Anolis sagrei: one gene and its partner. The protein of the gene in region 1 interacts with the protein of each later gene in a pairwise test. Links are inferred from orthologs where the notes say so. Each region holds a gene or a part of one and is shown on either strand. Other genes may lie near its edges.

Region 1 (7,151 bases):
ACTGAAGCTGAATTTGTATGCATGCTGGAACAGATATATTTTAAAGTATAAGTCCATATACATACATATATATGTGTGTGTGTGAGAGAGAGTGTGTTTTGGATCACATAGGGAAGGGCGAACACTCCTGTGGTGTTCTGTTGCTGCTTGTGGCACTGTTTTAGAGGATTTCGCCTCCTTTTCTGTCCCTATGATAACTGGGTTTTGAAAAATGTGTCTAGTTGTGGAAATAACAATTCCAGATAAACCTTCAGTGGGGATCTTGTTTCCCCATGATAATAACTCTTCCATGACTAGATTCCCCTCACTTCCTGTTGTCTCAGTCCCATTCTTAACTGTGGGTCATTTGTAAGTTGGGTGTTTGTAACTCGGGTACGACCTGTATGTAGAAGGGGAGAGGAGGCTAACCTACTTACCCTATGCTCATTTATCAGAAAACCTACTTGACAAAACATCTTTTTCTCCCTTCTCTCACTTCATGCATTAACCTCTCCCCTGATTTTAAAGCATCCTAGGAGTTTCAAAAGGCAATTGGAAATGCACCTCCACCTGGCATACCTTCACTCTGGGCCATCAAAATCAAAAGTTTTATGCCTTAAAGATGAACATGTGTTATTGGACACAACCTTTCACAGGACACAATGTTCTGGTGTGCCTCTGAGTCCTTCTCCACTTACAGCGATCCTAAGGTCACAATTTAGCAAGATCTGTTCAGAAGGGCCAGGCCAATAACACTTGTTCATCCTCTCAGCCACCAAAGAAGGTTATTGGTGGCTAAGAGGGTGACTTGCCCAGTTGGTTTCCATGGCTGAGCCTCCAGAGCCCTGGTCCAATGCTCAAACCATGAGGCCACCCGGACTCCTCTCATAACCAGCCGCTTTGGGTCTCATTAAGAGAATAAAGAGGGCTATAAATCAATGCAGTAGTAATAACACTCTGTAACACAATTTTTGTTCCTGGGTTATAAATGGCATTTTCTAATTGGTTCTAATCACTATGTTTTAAAACTAGTATCAAGTCAATACAGAGCGTATGGTATAGTGGTTTTTAACTCTGGATATGTTTCAATGGTTTTTAACTAGGGATTTTAAATATACAGGGTTAGTCAAAATGCATAGGCCAATAAGCCATTCAATTGAATAGCTTATTGGCCTATGCATTTTGACTAACCCTGTATACTGTTTATATTTAATCCTGTTTTAATGTTTACATATTTGTATATTTGAAATCGTGTACAAATGCTTTTATGTTAAGCCACTGTATAAATATGTGAAAGGATGTAAAAAGGAAGAGGGAGCAGGTTTGTTTTCTGCTGCCCTGGAGACTAGGACTCAATGGAGCAATGGGCTCAAATGACAGGAAAGGAGATTTCAATGAACATGAGGAAGAACTTCTCACTGTGAGAGCTGTTCAGCAGTGGAACTCTCTGCCTCGGAATCTGGTGGAAACTTCTTCCTTGGAAGATTTAAAAAGATGCCGGATGACCATTTGTCAGGGGTGATTTGATTGTGCTGTTCCTGCATGAAGGTGGAGTGGAAGGGGGTTGGACTGGGTGGCCCCTGGGGTTGCTCCTATTATTATTATTATTATTATTATTATTATTATTATTATTATTATTACTAGAAGGGCTGGGTGGCCATCTGTTGCGAGTACTTTAATGGTGATTTTCCTGCATGAAGGCAGAAGTTAGTTGGACTGGATGATCTCTGAGGTTTCTGCTATGATGATGATGATTATTACAAAGGCTGGATGGCCATCTGTTGGGGGTACTTTGATTGTGTTTTTCCTGCATGGCAGAAGGCAGTTGGACTGGGTGGTCCCTGGGATAGCTCTTATTATTATTATTATTATTATTATTATTATTATTATTATTGCAAAGGCTGGATGGCCATCTCTTGGGGGTACTTTGATTGGGCGTTTCCTGTATGAAGGCAGAAGAGAGTTGGATTGGATGGTCTCTGGGGTTGCTCCATTTATCTATCTATCTATTTATTTATATCCTGCTTTATCTCTCCATACGGACACTCAGAGCGGCTCACAATAAAGGAACATTACAACTTAAAATACACAAACATACAACAATAAAACAGTATATGTGATTAAATATTAACAGTAGTAATTCTATTTAATACATTAGCATTACTATATTACAATATTATTATCAATATTATATGTCTATACAATATACTATACTATTAGCCTAGCACAATATTAGTATTACATATTACTATATTCTACTATACCACTATACTGCAATACTATTAGTAATATTACATGTAATATATAATATACAATTATTATTATATCATTATATTGTACTATATTATTATACCACAACATATATAATACGCGACCAGTATATTATACTACAGGTATTAGTATTATATAATATAATGTATTATTAGTATTATTAGAAAAGCTGGATTACCATCTGTCGGGGGTGTTGTGAGGGTGCTTTTCCTGCAGGGCAGAATGGGGTTGGACTGGATAGTCCTTGGGGTTTCTGCTATTATTATTATAATTATTATTACTAAAAAGGCTGGGTGGCCGGCCATCTGTTGGGGGTGCTTTGATGGTGTTTTTCCTGCATGAAGGGGGTTGGACTGGATGGCCCCTGGGGTCTCTTAACTGGGCGTCTACTCTACTATTCGACATGGACCTAACCGCGCACCCCAGAATATCTACTCCGTGCCATGATCCCTGCATTCACCAATTCTACTGAAAGAGAGACCCTGAAAGCAAAGGGCCATTATTCAAGGCCAAGCAAGCTCTGGGCCTGAGCCCGGAAACGAGGCCTCAGCCTGGGCCCTTAAGTCTCGCCAAACCCGCCCTGGATGGGGACCACGACTGAGGCCACGCCGCCTCCCCCTTGCCTAGAAGAGAGAGAGAAGAATAGACCGTTCACCCACCAGCTGGTTGGTGCTCCTGTTGTCGCCTTCCGCCATTTTGTCCGCCTTCGACAGCTCCAACCGTCAACCGCCCGGCACCGCCCCCAAGAAAGGCAAGTCTTTTCTCTCACCTCGCCTCCCATTGGTCAGGGGAACCAAACCCCACCAGCCAATCAGCGTCGTCTTGTTAGCCTCCGGGCCAATCGCCTACCTATTTACATTTTCAAAACGAAGGCGCGGCTCCCTGTAGTGTAAGCCTAGGCCAGCTTGGGCCCTCTCTCCAGATGTTGTGGACTTCAGCTCCCACAATTCCTCACATCCTCAGGCCTCTTCCTTTTGCTCCCCAGCCCTTTAAGGTTGGGCCGAGGCTGTGAAGAATTGTGGGAGTTGACGTCCAAAACACTGGAAAGAGAGCTCAAGTTGGCCCAGGTCTGCTTTGTTGTTGTTCATTCGTTCAGTCGTCTCCGACTCTTCGTGACCTCGTGGACCAGCCCACGCCAGAGCTCCCTGTCGGCCGTTACCACCCCCAGCTCCCTCAAGGTCAGTCCAGTCACTTCAAGGATGCCATCCATCCATCTTGCCCTTGGTCGGCCCCTTTTCCTTTTGCCTTCCACTTTCCCCAGCATAATTGTCTTCTCTAGGCTTTCCTGTCTCATGATGTGGCCAAAGTACTTCAACTTTGTCTCTAGTATCCTTCCCTCCAATGAGCAGTCGGGCTTTATTTCCTGGAGGATGGACTGGTTGGATCTTCTCGCAGTCCAAGGCACTCTCAGCACTTTCCTCCAACACCACAGCTCAAAAGCATCAATCTTCCTTCGCTCAGCCTTCCCTAAGGTCCAGCTCTCACATCCGTAGGTGACTACAGGGAATACCATGGCTTTGACTAGGCGGATCTTTGTTGCCAGTCTGATGTCTCTACTCTTCACTATTTTATCGAGACTGGACATTTTGTAAAGGTCTGCTTTACAAAATTGGAAAAGAAGCATTTTGTTTCTTATCAACCACAGGCACCACTACATAGAAACAAAAGGTTTCTGAGCCACTTTGAATTGGGGAAAAGCTAGGAAATGGCAAACACCAAATGCAAGCCTTGAAGGAAAGAAGGAAGAAAAAGGGAAGGAAGGTAAAGAAATAAAAAGGAAGGAAAGAAAGAAAGAAAGAAAGAAGGAAGGAAGGAAAAGGGGCAGGAAGGTAAGAAGGAAAAAGGGAATGAAGGTAAGTAAGAAAAAAGGAAGGAAAGGAAGAAGGGAAAGAAAAACGGAAGGAAGGAAAAAGGGAAGGAAGGGAAGAAAGAAAAAGGAAAGGGAAGAAGCAAAAAAGGAAGGACAGGAAAAAAAGGAAATGAAGGGAAGAAATAAGGAAGAAAAGAAGGGGGTTGGTCACTTCACAGGATGAACACAACACCTTTTTGTTGTCGTTTGTATTTTGGTCATTGGCCAAAACAAAATGTTGATATTAAGCAGGCGTGAGACTTTTGAGATACCCAAGTGTGATGAAGTGTACATTTTTTCTTGCAGTTATGTATTATTATAGACTAGCTTGGGGACCCAGCGCTGCCCGGGTTATTTAAGAAAGGAATTGTGTATCAAGTTTGGTCTTTATCAGTTATTTATATGACTCGCAGTTGTCTCAGGAAGTTAGTGAAGGTACTGTGAGTCCCATTATCTGTGGTCCATCCTCCTCCAAACTGCTCCAGGATGGAGAGTGGGTAATGGGGTTTTTGTGTGCCAAGTTTGGTCTTGATCGGTCATTAGATGAGTGTTGCAGAGGTCTTGGGAAGTGAGTGGAGGTACTTGAAGTCCCATCATCCATAGTCTGTACTCCCCCAAACCTCACCAGAATGTTGACTTGGCCATGGGGGCTCTCTGTTCCAAGTTTGGTCTTTATTCGTTTTTGAATGAGTTTTGCTATGGTTTCAGGAAGTGAGTGAACGTACTGCAAGTCCCATCCTCCATCGTCCATCCTTCAAACAGCACTGGGATGTAGGGTGGGTCATGGGGGCTGTGTGTGCCAAGTTTGGTCTTAAACGGTCATTAGATGAGGGTTGCAGCAATCTTGGGAAGGGAGTAGAGGTACTTGAAGTCCCATCATCCATGGTCTGTCCTCCAAACTGCACCAGGGTGTAGAGCGGGTCATTGGGGCTCCGTGTGCCAAGTTTGGTCTTGATTAGTCATTGGCGAGGGTCTCAGTGGTCTCAGAAAGTGAGTGAGGTTACTGCAAGTCCCATCAACCACCTCCGTTTTTTTTCCAAATGACACCAGGACGTAAAGTGGGTCATGAGAGGTCTATGTGCCAAGTATGCTCTTGATCAGTCATTGCATGAGATTTGCAGAGGTCTCAGAATGTGAGTGAAGGTACTGGAAGTCGCATCATCCATCGTCTGTCCTCCTCCAAAACTGCAGCAGGATGTAGAGTGGGTCATGGGGGCTCTGTGTGCCAAGTTTGGTCTGTATTGGTAATTTTCTGACAGAGCCCCTGGCCTTTCCTTTCCTCTCTTTGTCATCTCGGAATCTTGGAATTGAGGCTGGCCAATCTGAGACCATATGCAAATTTCCTTCTCTCATGTCTCCGTTTCTGTCATGAAACCTTTTCTCCACCAGGGGCTCCTGTAAAGCTGACCAATCAGAGATCATATGCAAATAGCACCACAGCGGCAGCCAATCAGAATCTTGGAACTTTCAGGGTGGCCAATCAGAATGCTGGCACATACACCGCCACACCGCCACACTTTTGTCCTCCGCATACAAACTTTGACTTTTATTATATACATAGATAAGGGTTAGTAATGGTAAGTATATAGTATTGCATAATATTGGGGGATGGTAACCAGCTTAGCTTGCTTTGAGCTGAGTTGCTATGGAGATAGGGGCAGAGCCAACTGCCACTTGGCAGAACAGCCATTTTGGAAGCGGTCAGTCTGTGGTTGGTGAACTGCAGAACTGGTTGGTTCTTTCCTGTGTAAAGAACCAGAGAGAATTCTGTAGTCATAGAACTACAGGGAAAGGCTGATGCTTCCTCTTCATCTTGGAAAGAAGTGACGAGTGGAGTGCCGCAGGGTTCCGTCCTGGGCCCGGTCCTGTTCAACATCTTTATTAATGACTTAGATGAAGGGTTAGAAGGCAGGATCATCAAGTTTGCAGACGACACCAAATTGGGAGGGATAGCCAATACTCCAGAGGACAGGAGCAGGATTCAAAATGATCTTGACAGATTAGAGATGGGCCAAAACTAACAAAATTAAGTTTAACAGTGACAAATGTAAGATACTCCACTTTGGCAGGAAAAACAAAATGCAAACATACAGAATGGGGGACGCCTGGCTCAAGAGCAGCAAGTTAAACATGAGCCAACAATGTCATGTGGCGGCAAAAAAAGCCAATGGGATTTTGGCCTGCATCAATAGGAGCATAGTGTCTAGATCTAGGGAAGTAATGCTACCCCTCTATTCTGCCTTGGTTAGACCACACCTGGAATATTGTGTCCAATTCTGGGCACCACAATTGAAGAGAGATATTGACAAACTGGAATATGTTCAGAGGAGGGCGACTAAAATGATCAAGGGTCTGGAGAACAAGCCCTATGAAGAGCGGCTTAAAGAGCTGGGCATGTTTAGCCTGAAGAAGAGAAGGCTGAGAGGAGACATCATAGCCATGTATAAATATGTGAGAGGAAGTCACAGGGAGGAGGGAGCAAGCTTGTTTTCTGCTTCCCTGGAAACTAGGACACGGAATGGCTTCAAACTACAAGAAAGGAGATTCCACCTGAATATTAGGAAGAACTTCTTGACTGTGAGAGCTGTTCAGCAGTGGAACTCTCTGCCCTGGAGTGTGGTGGAGGCTCCTTCTTTGGAAGCTTTTAAACAGAGGCTGGATGGCCATCTGTCAGGGGTGCTTTGAATGCAATATTCCTGCTTCTTGGCAGGGGGTTGGACTGGATGGCCCATGAGGTCTCTTCCAACTCTATGATTCTATGATTTATATTAAAAGTAACTGTTGTGGAAAAGAAGGGAAACCCTAATAAGCATCTTTATTGTAACAGAACCATCATAAAGAAAGGATAAGCGTGTGCCTGAAATAACCTGTTAAAGAAAGATCTCTTTCTAAAAGAACTAAGTTTAAGACCTGTTTGTTAGAATAATTAGACCTTCTAAGAGTTATTTAAGGACTGTTATGAACGTGACCATTAAAGATCTGTACCTCTAAGAGAAGAGAAACTTTGAAACCATCACATTTCTGTACCTCAACAAACTTGTTCGTTTCCTTT
Region 2 (6,929 bases), on another chromosome or scaffold:
TAAAGCAGGCGCACAAGTTGTTTTTTATTTTGCTTTGTTTTTTGTACCTCTCCCTACCCTCCCTCTTATCCGCTCCAAAGGCCTCTTTTGTCATTTCTCTCCCTCTCTGTCCTCAGAGCTGCAATGTCAGATAGGACAGCAAGAGAAAAGAGAAGCTGCAAAAATTAGCCCATAAAAGCCAGCAGAGCATGGCTTCCCGGAGAGGTTTTCGGCTGATAATAGCGTCTCAGTCTTGAAGATCCAGATAACTCTTCCCTGCGCTTTGTGCCGCAATCCAAGAGCCATTAGATAGAATTAAATACTCATGGAGCGGCAGAATGGCTCCCCAAAAAGGAGATCTGTGTTGTCATCACATTGCCTGCTATAACCCTCCGGCGGTGATATAAACTCCTTTCTCCTTTGCTTTTCTTTACTTGCACAATTTAACATTCCCATTGGAAATGGTTGAGGAAAGCAAGAGTGCCTGGAAACAGAACTTCAGTAGAGGAACAAAACTTTTTTGTTGTGCTGGTTGCAATGGAAAGAAGTGATTGCTGTGCTGTTTCTGTACCCACATCCTATGTCTTTTCGAATACATTTGCTCTTACCTTTTACTAAGAAAAAATTAATTTAATATTTTTCTTTATGAATTAAAGCTTTTTGCGGTAATTGTTGCAATGGAAAGACATGACCAGCTGTATCTCCATCCACATCATACACTTTACCTTTATAGTGTTAAAAAGGTTCCCTTTAATATAAGATAAAGGTAAAGGTTTTTCCCTGACATTAAGTCCAGTCATGTCCAACTCTGGCGGATGGTGCTCATCTCCATTTCTAAGTAGAAGAACTGGTGTTGTCCATAGACACCTCCAAGGTCATGTGGCCAGCATGACTGCATGGAGAGCTGTTACCTTCCCGCCAGAGTGGTACCAATTGATCTACTCACATTTGCGTGCATATATATACTTTTTGTTGTGGTAGTTGCAATACAAACAAGTTATCAGTTTTTCCATCTACATTGCATACCTTGTCCTTTATGATATGTTTGTTTTTACTTCTTGTAAATTTAAAAAAAATATTAAAGGGTATTCTCTTAAGTGCAACTTTTGTTGTTGTGATGGTTGCAATAGAAAGAAGAGGCCAGCTGTTTTTCCATTTGCGCATTTGCTCTTATATCTGGTTTAATATTTTAATATGAATATTGAATATTAACAATATGTAGTATTTTTACAGTTACATAAAACTTTGTTGTCATTGTTGTTGCATTGGAGCAGTGCTTCTCAACCTGGGGTCCCCAGATGTTTTAGCCTCCAACTCCCAGAAATCCTAACAGCTGGTAAACTGGCTAGGATTTCTGGGAGTTGTAGGCCAAGAACATCTGGGGACCCCAGGTTGAGAAACACTGCATTGGAGGGACATCAGTGGGCGAAAAATGCTCTACCCAACAACAACAATAACCACAACAACAAAGTTTTATTTAATTGGAAAAACTACAAAAAAAGAACACCCCAAATTTGGTATTTTTTGTAGTTTTTCCAGTTAAATAAAACTTTGTTGTTGTGGATGTTGTTGTTCAACAACAACATCAACCACAACAACAAAGTTTGTTGTTGTTGTTGCATCAGTGGGCGAAAAATGCTCTACTCATGAAAATTTAGTATTTTTAAGTATTTTTTGCCAGTTAAATAAAATGTTGTTTTTTGCTGTTGTTGCATCCCTGGGTGAAAAATGCTCTGCCCATGGAAATTTAGTAATTTTAAGTATTTTTTGCCAGTTAAATAAAATGTTGTTGTTGTATCAGTGGGCAAAAAATGCCCTGCCCATGGAAATTTAGTATTTTTTTTAGTATTTTTCCAGTTAAATAAAACTTTGTTGTTGTTATTGTTGTTGTTATTGTTGCATCGGTGGGCGAAAAATGCTCTACCCATGAAAATTTAGTATTTTTTAGTATTTTTCCAGTTAAATAAAACTTTGTTGTTGTTGTTGTTGCATCAGTGGACGAAAAATGCTCTACCTATGAAAATTTGGTATTTTTAAGTATTTTTTGCCAGTTAAATAAAATGTTGTTGTTGTTGTTGTTGTTGTTGTTGTATCGGTGGGCAAAAAATGCTCTGCCCATGGAAATTTAGTATTTTTTAGTATTTTTTCCAGTTAAATAAAACTTTGTTGTTGTTGCATCAGTGGACAAAAAATGCTCTACCCATGAAAATTTAGTATTTTAAAGTATTTTTTGCCGGTTAAATAAAATATTGTTGTTGTATCGGTGGGTGGAAAATGCTCTACCCATGGAAATTTAGTAATTTTAAGTCTTTTTTCAGTTAAATAAAACTTTGTTGTTGTTGTTGTTGTTGTTTCATGGGGGGGGGGGAATCAGTGGGAGAAAAATGCTCTGCCCATGGGAAGCTGTACAGGCCAAACATTGAAACCCTCCTTCTGCCCCAAATGCAGAGGGAAGCCAATGGGACAGGAGGAAGACTAGGATCAGGCCCCACTTTGGACCTGAGACAGGCAAAATACCTAAGGCCCTATGGGGGCATCTAGATCATAGGATTAAAGCAGTTCGACACCACTTTAACTGTCATGGCTCAATGCTACGGAATCTTGGGAGCTGTAGTTTCACAAGATCTTTAGCCTTCTCTCCCAAAGCATGTTGGTGCTTCACCAAACTCCAACCCCTAAGATCCCATAGCACTGAGCCATGGCAGTTCAAGTGGAGTCAAACTGCATTAATTCTACAGTGCAGATGCACCCCGTGGAACTTAAGACCACCACCCCCAACCCTTTCTGGCTCCTTGGATCCCAAGGAAGCTGGTCCCCCTTCAAGGAATGCAGATCTAACACTTATATATACACAAATGCAAATACATTCATACAGATACATGCATGCTGCACCTTACCTTGGCCAAGTGTTTCAAAGGGAAAGGCAACATAGCAGGAGCAGAGCAGCACCAAGTCTTGGGCTCAGCTGTTGCTGGCGGGCAAAGGGAGTCCCAGCCAGCCCTGGTGGCAAGCAGGAGGGAGGACCCAGGGCTGGAGGAAGGGGAGCACGTGGGCCGCTCTCCGCCAATGCCAGCCACTACCGGGTGCACAAGGCATCACGGGAAGTGTAGTTTCTGGTGGCCTGGAACGCCTCTCGCAGGGAGGGGCGGGGCTAGGCGCCTGGAGTCTCCTCTCTATGAAACAGAAGCCTAGGCTTGGAGTCCAAGTTCTAAGGCAGGAAAGTGCAACTAAAGCACTCAATGCTTCGAGCAAGAAGAGGTGGTGATTGCAGACTATTACTACTGATTTATTATTATTATTATGGAGTGTTTATGGTATTTGCCCATGCATACATCATGAGATATTCTTGGAGAGAGGATCCAAGTCTAAGTATTATATGTATTGGTTATATACATATATACCCTAAGGGCCCTTCCACACAGCCCTATATCCCAGAATATCAAGGCAGAAAATACCACATTATCAGAATGTGGACTCAGATAACCCATTTCAAAGCAGATATTGTGAGATTTTCTGCCTTGATATTCTGGGATTTAGGGCTGTGAGGAAGGGCCCTTAAACACATAGTCTGGAGGTAGTATTATACATACAGTAGCGCTCCAGTTGGAGTTCAGCTGTAACCAGCAGTGCTGCAAAATTTGAAGAGGTATGAATGGAGGGCAAAAGAGAGAAACGTGCCAAGAGGAAGGTGCTTCAAGCCAACCCCGACCGGGACTGCCTTCCACCTGGAAACTGATGCCCTCACTGTGGGAGAAGATGCAGATCAAGAATAGAGCTCCACAGTCACCTACCGCCAGGATACTACACTTGGAGGACCATCATCCTCGGATTACGAGGGATCGCCTAAATAAGTATGTACTGATAATTTTGGGCATGATACAAAGTTTTCATTTAACACGGTCGAATGATGCAATTTCAAATCGAATTATATAGTCAGAGCAGGGGTCCTCAAACTAAGGCCCAGGGGCCAGATACGGCCCTCCAAGGTCATTTACCCGGCCCTCGCTCAGGATCAACCTAAGTCTGAAATGGCTTGAAAGCACACAACAACAACAATCCTATCTCATCAGCCAAAAGCAGGCACACACTTCCCATTGAAATACTAATAAGTTTCTATTTATTAAAATGGTTCTTCATTTTAATTATTTTATTGTTTTTAAGTGTTTTTTTGCACTATAAATAAGATATGTGCATTGTGCACAGGAATTCATTCATGGTTTGTTTGTTTTTTTCAAATTATCATCCGGCCCTCCAACTGTTTGAGGGACTGTGACCTGGCCCTCTGTTTAGAAAGTTTGAGGACCCCTGGTGTAGAGTCATCTGGCCCCTTCTACACTGCCATAGCATCCAGATTATCAAAGCAGATAATCCACATTAACTGCTTTGAACTGGATTATATGAGTCTACACTACCATATAATCCAGTGCAAATGATATTATATGGCAGTGTAGAAGGGACCCCAATTCAGTTAAACCACATTATATGCTCATTGTAGAGTCATGTAATGAGTCTATATTGAACATATAATGCAGTTTCAAACTGCATGATACGGTTGTGTAGATAGCACCAAAGTTAGTTTACACTGAACCGGCAGAAAGAAAAGGGGCCACTATCACATGCTGACTCTACACCAGTGCTTCTCAATCTATGGGTCCCCAGGAGTTTTGGCCTACAACTCCCAGAAATCCCAGCTAGTTTACCAGCTGTTAGGATTTCTGAGAGTTGAATGTGAAAACATCTGGGGACCCACAGGTTGAGAACCACTGCTACACTGTAGAATTTCCCATTTTTAACTGCCATGACTCAATGCTATAGGATCATTGGAGCTGTAGTTTTGCTCCGTTGAAGAGTACTCATGCCTCACCAAATTCCAACTCCTTGGATCCCATAGCACTGAGTCATGGCAGTCAAAGTGGTTTTAAACTGCCTTAATTCTACAGTGTAGATGCACCTCCAACAGTCTGAGGGACCATAAACGGGCCCTTTGCTTAAAATGTTTGAGGACTCCAGTTCTAGATCATATACACTCAAATTGAATGTTGAGGCAGAAAAGCATTTTGTCATTTAGTGCCATAGCTAAATATTATAGCAAGGAGTGCTGTTTGTCAGTCCACACGGGAGATTAAACAGGTACTGATCCATAGGATTGCTATTTTATATTTCTCTCTCTCTCACTCCCTCACTAACCTCTTGCACTTTTAACAGCTGCAGGGCTAGATGAAAATTCAACCCAGCACAGGTTTGCCTTTGCTGAAGATGGCTTCACCTCTTTAATTACTGTTTATTATGACAGTTAGAAGTACAGGACTATTTCCAGATTATTATTTTTAAGATGGAGGGGGTCTGTTCTATGATTTTGCCTTACATTAATATAATACAGTATAATCCTAGTTGGGTTTTTGCTTTATACGCAATTCAGTGGTGTAGTTTCCTATACATCGAGTGTGGTATAGTAGTCCTCATCTACACTGCCAAATAATCCTATTTCTGAATCCAAATCATCGGCTTTTCATTAGTTATATTACAGTATAGACTCATGTAAACCAGTTCCAGACTGATAATCTGGATTCAGAAAATGGATTATTTGGCAGTGTAGATCCAGCCTGGGTGTTCGACAAGAACTAGTATCTGAATTCCCACTTTGCCTTGCAAACCCAAAGGTTAACTTGGGGGAAAATGTACTCATTCTCAGAGGAAGGCAAAGGCGGCCTTCCCCTGAACACATCTTGCCAAGAAAATGCTTTGATAGGGTTGTCATAAATTAGAGTTGACTTAAGAGCACATGAAATCAACAACAAAAGTTTTCCTAGTTGAGAAATAAGTGCTGGAGAGTTGCTTCATATGGTGAACTTCTGCCTTTAACTTTTGAATTGATTCAGGGGCAGTGCTGCCTTTTGGGGCTAACATGATATAATAAAAACCATTGTGGATATTTAGTCCAGCATTCTACTACCAGTACTACTACTACTACTACTACTACTACTAATAATAATAATAATAATAATAGACTCTGGCACAAACCAGTCAAGGTGGTCCCAGTGGTGATCAGCACAGTGGGTGCAGTGCCTAAAGTCCTTGGCCTGCACTTAAACACAATCGGTGCTGACAAAATTACCATCTGCCAGTTGCAGAAGGCCGCTTTACTGGGATCTGCATGCATTATTCGCCAATACATCACACAGTCCTAGACACTTGGGAAGTGTCCGACGTGTGATCCAATTCAACAGCCAGCAGAGTGTCTGCTGTGGATTCATCTTGTTGTGTTTCAAATAATAATAATAATAATAATAATAATAATAATAATAATACTGCAGTGGAGTCAGACTTGAAACCCCAAACATTTTTTGTATAAAAATAATTGGGGGGAAAAAGGATCCCACCGCTGCCACCACTGTAACACAGATAAGGGTCACTTATCGCATATGTGACGGGGGGAACCTTTCTTTTTCCAATCCCACCACTGCCACCACTGTAAAAGATACAGGAGGGAATTGCAGGTGATTTTTATGCAAAAGAAGAGAAATGCAAACATGGAAACAGAAACAGACAAAAGAATTAGGCCCCTTCTACACAGCTGTATAAAATCCACATTGAACTGGATTATATGGCAGTGTGGACTCAGATAGCCCAGTTTAAAGCAGATATTGTGGATTATCTGCCTTGATACTCTGGGTTATATGGCTATGTTGAAGGACCCCTAGAAAAAGCAAGAGGAATGCCACCTTCAAAACAAAAAGAAATTGGGGTTTTTTTTGGGGGGGGGGGGTATATAAAACTATAGACTTAGAACAACAAATAGAACTGTATCTAAAACAATAATCTTAATCTGTACAACACACAAAACTAAACATATAACAGCAAGAACTACTCTATAAATCTCAAACTCATTGCCTGTTGATTTTTAATTCTTAAAAGTAGGAGGCTGGATAGATAACAAAAATTAAGGTAGC

What was found.
Region 2: the proteins of ARL6IP1 (region 1) and SHMT2 interact in binary tests that used the Homo sapiens proteins (3 or more experiments, as listed by UniProt). The two-hybrid records come from large-scale screens. The link is inferred for Anolis sagrei from reciprocal best matches to the Homo sapiens genes ARL6IP1 and SHMT2.

The regions. Positions count from the first base shown.
Region 1 is NC_090034.1:25,324,778-25,331,928, forward strand, and holds the start of ARL6IP1 (ADP-ribosylation factor-like protein 6-interacting protein 1), read right to left. Parts: upstream 3,017-7,151; 5' UTR 2,946-3,016; coding exon 2,910-2,945; intron 1-2,909. UniProt on the Homo sapiens protein: Positively regulates SLC1A1/EAAC1-mediated glutamate transport by increasing its affinity for glutamate in a PKC activity-dependent manner.
Region 2 is NC_090022.1:184,965,743-184,972,671, reverse strand, and holds the start of SHMT2 (serine hydroxymethyltransferase, mitochondrial), read right to left. Parts: upstream 3,009-6,929; 5' UTR 2,910-3,008; coding exon 2,877-2,909; intron 1-2,876. UniProt on the Homo sapiens protein: Catalyzes the cleavage of serine to glycine accompanied with the production of 5,10-methylenetetrahydrofolate, an essential intermediate for purine biosynthesis.